Linked DNA regions of Macaca fascicularis. The protein of the gene in region 2 purifies or fractionates together with the protein of the main gene of each other region. This does not show direct contact. Links are inferred from orthologs where the notes say so. Each region holds a gene or a part of one and is shown on either strand. Other genes may lie near its edges. The genes, in order: VARS1 and EEF1A2.

Region 1 (2,926 bases), on a different chromosome or scaffold from region 2:
CCAGAGGCTGCCCCGGAGGATGCCGCAAGCTCCCCCTAGCCTCTGTGTCACCCCCTACCCAGAGCCCTCAGAGGTATGGCATGGCCTGGAGAGGGGAGTCTGACCTGCGCTGCAGCCCCCCTCACCCCCTCCTCCACCCCACAGTGCTCCTGGAAGGACCCTGAGGCAGAAGCTGCCCTCGAGCTGGCGCTAAGCATCACGCGAGCTGTGCGCTCCCTGCGGGCGGACTACAACCTCACCCGGATCCGGCCTGACTGTGAGCCTCACGCCCCCATGTCCACCCCATCCCACTGTCCCCTCAGCCCACTCTGCGACCCAGTGTCCAGCAGTGACTGCTTGGTTTCCTGTCTCCATGGAGCTAGGCCTCACCTTTCTCCCTCTCTGGCAGGCTTCCTGGAAGTGGCGGATGAGGCCACGGGCGCCCTGGCATCGGCTGTGTCGGGCTACGTGCAGGCGCTGTCCAGCGCAGGTGTGGTGGCTGTTCTGGCCCTGGGGGCTCCCGCCCCGCAGGGTTGCGCTGTGGCTCTGGCCTCTGATCGCTGCTCCATCCACCTGCAGCTGCAGGGGCTGGTGGACCCTGCGCGGGAGCTGGGCAAGCTGCAAGCCAAGCGAGTTGAGGCACAGCGGCAGGCCCAGCGTCTGCGGGAACGCCGTGCCGCCTCAGGCTACCCTGTCAAAGTGCCCCTCGAAGTCCAGGAGGCAGATGAAGCCAAGGTGTGTGGCGTGAGTGGGCATTTCCCACACCATCCACTTCCTCCGTCAAAACCCTGGTCTGGGCTGGTCCGAGTACAGTGGTGTTGACGATTAATTGATCGTAACCAGCTACAGATTTCTTTGTTCCTTCTCCATTCCCACTAACCTTACAAAACAAAACAGCCTGGTTCAGTGCCTCACACCTGTAATCCCAGAACTTTGGGAGGCCGAGGTGGGTGGATCACTTGAGCCCAGGGGTTTGAGAGCAGCCAACATGGTGAAATCCCATCTCTACAACAAATATAGAAAAATCAGCTGGCCACAGTGGCACACACCTGGGGTCCCAGCTACTCGGGGGGCTGAGGTGGGCGGATTGCTTGAGCCTGGGAGGTCAAGGCTGCAGTGAGCCGAGATCATGCCACTGCACTCCAGCCTGGACAACAGAGAGAGAGAAGACCCTCTCTCTCAAAAAAAAAAAAAAAAAAAAAAAAGCATCCAAAACAAAACCCAAAATCCAAACCAAAACTTCCTGGTCTGGAAGCTGGACTCTGTACCCAAACCTGGGGAATCCACTGGGAAGCATGGAGCCCAGGAGCTTGGAGCAGGGACCATAGAATGCCCTTCCCTTACACATGGGGAGCAGCTGGGGGCTGGGCACAGCCCAGGGTCACACAACAGGTCGGAGATGGAGGCTGACCTAGAACCAGGCATCCTATCTCCCAATCAGACCCTTCATACCCCACCCAGCTGCCTAAAATGTGGAAACCCGCATGCCTGAGGCTAGGCTTGGGGTCCACGTGTAGTCGGGAGCCCTGGACCTCCCACCACTTACTTTCAAGCCTACCGAGCTGACCCTGGAAGGCCAGTCTCGTTTGTCCCCTGCCTCCTGGGTTCCGCCAGAGAGGAGTAGTATAGTAAGCTGCACAGACATGGAGAAAATCAGTCATGGAGGCCAAGAGCTAGAGAGCCTTGAGTGGACCTGGTTCATCTCACCTGGTTCTCCCAAGAGCCCTGGGAGGGGTAATATTATCGTCATCTGACAAATGAAGTGATTGGCCTGGGACCCTGTGCTCTCCTGCTTACGTGGGGACACTGTGTGGGGAGCATGGAGGCTCTGAGGTTCCTTTGTTCTTGGGGACTGACCACTCTGTGGAAAAAGGCAAGACCCAAGAGGTGCTGGTGGAGGTGGGGGTCGGGGTGCTGGCGGAAATGTGTGGGGAGCCACGCCAGCCAGGTTCACGCCTCCTCCGAGCTACTGACCTTCCATGGTCCTCGCTCATCTTTCCAACTTTGTTGTCCTGGGTGTCTGGGGGTCTCTTCGCTTGGACGTGGGTCCTCACCCATCCCCTGGTTCCACTCCAGCTCCAACAGACGGAAGCAGAGCTCAGGAAGGTGGATGAGGCCATCGCCCTATTCCAGAAGATGCTGTGATCCACCACCTAGCTTCCCCGCTCACCCCCAGCAGCTCACCATGGGGATGGCAGCAATAAAATATTTTCCCACAAAATCCTCTTGTCATCTGTGGTGGGGGCAGAGAGGGGAGCAGAGGGGCTGGGTGCCTGAATCCCTGGGGGTTGCAGGGTGAGAGTGAGGCCCTGGTTCTGGAGGGCAGAGGGGCGGGTCTGTCTGGGTCTGTCCCTGGCACTGTGCCAGGCCTGAGTCACGCTGCTCACTCCCTTCCTCCTCCCCAGCTTTCATTCACCTCCGCACTGCGGCCAAGGGAGGCCCGCCCTGCCATGGGCTGCTGCCTGTGGCCTTGGGCAGGCATGAGCAAAAGGGCCAGGGGGGTTGCCTGCCCTCCCCCACCCTGTGGGGGCCTTCCTCCCCCTCTACTGGGCCTCGGTTAATTATAACTCTGACCTAAGTGCCCTGTGACGTCGTGCCCGGGCCAGCCCTTCCTAGGAGACCCAGCAACCAGGTAGGGGAGGGCCTGAGAGGACTCAGGCTTCCTGTGCATGGGGAGTGTTTCTGCAGCAGGGCTGGGAACTCAGCCAGGGACTGGGGAGGGGGGCCTGGGGGAGGAACCCTGGACCCCTCTCCTGGCAGCTGTGTATGTCCCTAATGGTCAGATGAGGCCCTCAGGTTGTCTGGGTGACAGAGAGGGCGGGGAAGCCAGGCTGCAGCAGACGCGACTTTTGAGGTAAAGCAGGTGCCCATGGAGACCCGCAGAGCTGGCCTGCCCTGGAATTGCAGCTGCTTCCTCCTCCCTTGAGAGCCTTCTGTCTCCCAGGTC
Region 2 (3,813 bases):
ATGGATGGATGGATGGATGGATGGATGGATGGATGGATGGGTGGATGGATGGATGGACGGGGAGATAGGTGGATGGATTGATAGAGAGAAGGATGGATGGGTGGGAAGATGGATGGATGGATTGATAGAAGGATGGATGGGTGGGACAATGGATGGATGGATGGATGGATGGATGGATGGATGGATGGATGGAGAGGTGGATGGATGGATGGAGAGAGAGAAGGATGGATGAGTGGGACAATGGATGGATGGATGGATGGATGGATGGATGGATGGATGGATAGATGAATGGAGTGAAAGACGGATGGGTGGGGAGATGGATGGATGGATAGAGAGATGGATGGATGGGTGGATGGATGGGTGGGTGGGTGGGTGGATGGATGGATGGATGGATGGATGGATGGATGGACGGACAGAGGATGGATGGGTGAGGAGGTGGGTGGATGGATGGATGGATGTGGGATGGACTCTTCCCCAGAAAGTGTGTAGTAAGGGGAGAGATTGGAGACAGCCCAGTCTTGAGATGCCTCATAGGAACCCCTGGTCTAGGGCAGGCGGAACTGGCTGGGCAGGAGCTCCAGCACAGCGCCCTTGCTCACCGCCGATCTTGTACACGTCCTGCAGTGGCAGGCGCAGGGGCTTGTCCGTGGGGCGCGTGGGGGGCAGAATGGTGTCCAGGGCCTCCAGCAGGGACACGCCGCTTGCGTTGCCCTCCTTACGCTCCACCTTCCAGCCCTTGAACCACGGCATCTGGACCGAAAGGAGAAAATCAGTCCATTACAGAGACATTGGTGGCCTCCCCACCCTCAGGCCTCCCCAGGGTGCCTCCAGGAATCCTGCTGTTCAGGCTAAACTTGCCTCATGCCCTTTAAGATGAGGAATTTCCCCAACCTGCTCCTCCCCAGCCCATAGCCCCAGCATCACAGGGACCCTGGGAAGGAGATCCCTCTTAAAAGGAGGAGGACAAAGAGGTAAAGCACCCTTCCCAGCCCAGGCTGCTCAGGAGTTGCTGACACTGTGAACAAACCCCCAGTCCAGCCCCAAGTCCCAGAAGGCCCCAGGCCCCTGACCATCAGCTCTAGGCAGGGCAGGTGACTTGACTAGGAGGATGCCGAGTCTAGACAAGGGCCAGGCCAGGGACAGAGCTGGAGGGGGAGCCTTGCCCCACCCTAGCTCCTGGACACCGTGCTGCCTCCAAGCTTGGCACAGCCCTGTCTGGAGCTTCTCCTGGTGCGGCCCCCACTCCCACCCCACGAAGCCTCCCTCTGGGCCACCTGCCACAAACAGGGAGCAGGGGAGGGAGCCGGCAGCACTGTGCCCCAGCCCCCCAGGGCCTGTATAAGCATGGGCCACCTAGCAGCTCAGGCCAGAGGGGAGTGTGGGTTCCCTGATGGCTGGAGGCCTCCCTGGAGAGGTGGAGAATGGCGTTCGCCACATGATACCCTGTGAGGAAAATGCCATCACAGGTAAACAACACCCAGCCTCATGAGATGGAGGCAGGGCTGGGGGAGCCCCTCTCAGCTCTGTCCCCAGACCTCAGCGCTGGGCTCAGTGCTGCTGGTCTGTCTCCCCGCTGTCTCTAGACTCCACACCTGTACCCTCACTGTTGGCAGCTACACTGCTGGCAGAGCCTAGTGGCGGCCATTCTGGTGTCTCCTCTGGCTTGGAGAACCCTTGGAACACAGTCTCAGGTTCTCCAAGTGTCTCTACGCGTCATCTCCAGCCAAGGCAGAGTCCCTGGGCCACAGACTGTTCGCACGCTGAGCTCCCAATTGACCAGCCAAGAGCCAACCCTTAGCCCTCCCAGCCAGCCCAGAAGCATGCACACTTCCCAAAGCCAAACCCTGCTCCAAGACCCCAGGGGAGGCAACCGGGGAGGCCCCCACGGCCCAGCCCACAGCCCCTGCATGTTTTCCAGAGCCAGGACAATGGCCTGACAGAGATGAAACCGACCACCCCCATGGCAGGGCTCTGGAGACCAGGCACATGGGCCGTGCTGGAGGCCACTGCTGTCCCCTGCTGTGTTGACATCGGGGATGGGCCCTGGCCCTGGCCAGCCGTGTGGGAGGCTGAGTGTAGGAGCAAAGCCTGGTGCTGAGGGGGGATGGGGCTCCCCGCCGGGCCTTGAGCCAGTTAGGGAAACCCAGCAGGTTTCGTGGGGAACCTGCATTTCCCTGGGACAGGCCCTCCACCTCCCCCTGCCACCTGCCGGTGCCTCGCTCTGGGGCAGGGGGTCCAGCCAGCCCGTGTGGCCCGCCTCGCCCTAGCCGCCACTCACGTTGGGAGAGGGCTCCAGCATGTTGTCGCCATGCCAGCCGGAGATGGGCACGAAGGGCACGGTGGCCGGGTTGTAGCCGATCTTCTTGATGTAGGCGCTGACTTCCTTGACAATCTCATCATAGCGCTTCTCGCTGTAGGCCGGCTCCGTGGAGTCCATTTTGTTCACGCCCACGATAAGCTGCTTCACACCCAGCGTGTAGGCCAGCAGGGCATGCTCCCGCGTCTGCCCATTCTTGGAGATGCCCGCCTCGAACTCACCCACGCCCGCCGCCACGATCAGCACTGCGCAGTCCGCCTGCCCAGCGGGGGACACAGTGAGCCCCGCCCCACCTGCCCAGCAGGGGACACAGGCCTCTCCAGGCAGTGGGCTGGGGCCTGAGCAGCCCACTGGGGCCTTGGGGAGGGAGACATGGGGGTCCCCACTTCAAGGGCAGTGTGGGGGGCTCATCGCCAGGCCATGGGTCAGGGGACCGAGGTTCAACCCTGGCTCCACCACCAGTGGGCTGTGTGTCCCTGGACAAGTCACTCAGCCTCTCTGGTCCTGTTCCTCACTTGGGGACAGATTGAGGTCACAGTTATCAAAGCAGTTTGGAGGTGGTGGCATGTGTCCTGCTGTCTGCAGGATGCTGTGTCTGGGGTGCCCGTGCATCTCTGTGAGTGCCCTGAAATGTCATACAGTCCAGGCCTGGCTGGTGGCACCTCTGCCCACTGCTCACTGTCCCCATCCTGGCCTCTAGCCCCTCTGTGCATGAAGGTGTGTCCATGTCCACATCTGCCCCCGTCTGTCTGGGGACTCTGACACTGGCTGGGTGTCCTCACAGGCACTGGGTCAGATGCCAGAGCCCTGGATTCCTTCTTGGGGGGGCTCTAACCCAGACCGGGTGAGGGGTGGCCCAGGTGAGGGGTCCCCTGCCCTCACAGGAAGCACAGGAGACCCCACCACCCCAGTGATCCCAGGGGCCCCCAGTGTCCCTTGAAGGGGTGCAGCGGCCTCTTCCCCAGCCCCACCTGCTGTGCCCTGCTCACCTGGGATGTGCCTGTGATCATGTTCTTGATGAAGTCACGGTGGCCGGGGGCATCGATGATGGTGATGTAGTACTTGGTGGTCTCGAACTTCCAGAGGGAGATGTCGATGGTGATGCCGCGCTCACGCTCTGCCTTCAGCTTGTCCAGCACCCAGGCATACTTGAAGGATCCCTTCCCCATCTGGAGCAGGTGAGGGTCACGGGTGAGGGTCACAGGTGAGGGCGAGACCTGGGACCCGGGGAGTCCCTGGCGGTGCGAGCTGCTTGTCACAGCAGAGTGGCCGCGGGAGGCGGGAGATGGGCTCCAGCCCCCGCTTGCTCCCCGCCGGGGTCCTGGAACGCCGGCCCCTCCGTCTGGACCCCACACGCAGACCCTGCCCCCCATGACCGGCCTCTGCACCGGCTCCGGAATGGGTGCGGCTACGCACATCCACCAGCAGGTGGCGCGAGGGCCTGGGAGTCGCCCGCTCTCCCAGCGAAGCCGCCAGATGGGATAAACCCCTCCCCC

What was found.
Region 1: the proteins of EEF1A2 (region 2) and VARS1 purify together in Homo sapiens (co-immunoprecipitation; 3 studies listed by BioGRID and IntAct, counting the BioPlex papers as one, with this or other methods). This does not show direct contact. The link is inferred for Macaca fascicularis from reciprocal best matches to the Homo sapiens genes EEF1A2 and VARS1.

The regions. Positions count from the first base shown.
Region 1 is NC_088378.1:139,937,597-139,940,522, forward strand, and holds the end of VARS1 (valine--tRNA ligase), read left to right. Parts: coding exon 1-73; intron 74-144; coding exon 145-256; intron 257-388; coding exon 389-714; intron 715-2,055; coding exon 2,056-2,124; 3' UTR 2,125-2,200; downstream 2,201-2,926. UniProt on the Homo sapiens protein: Catalyzes the attachment of valine to tRNA(Val).
Region 2 is NC_088384.1:119,612,353-119,616,165, forward strand, and holds part of EEF1A2 (elongation factor 1-alpha 2), read right to left. Parts: intron 3,487-3,813; coding exon 3,307-3,486; intron 2,576-3,306; coding exon 2,279-2,575; intron 751-2,278; coding exon 600-750; intron 1-599. UniProt on the Homo sapiens protein: Translation elongation factor that catalyzes the GTP-dependent binding of aminoacyl-tRNA (aa-tRNA) to the A-site of ribosomes during the elongation phase of protein synthesis.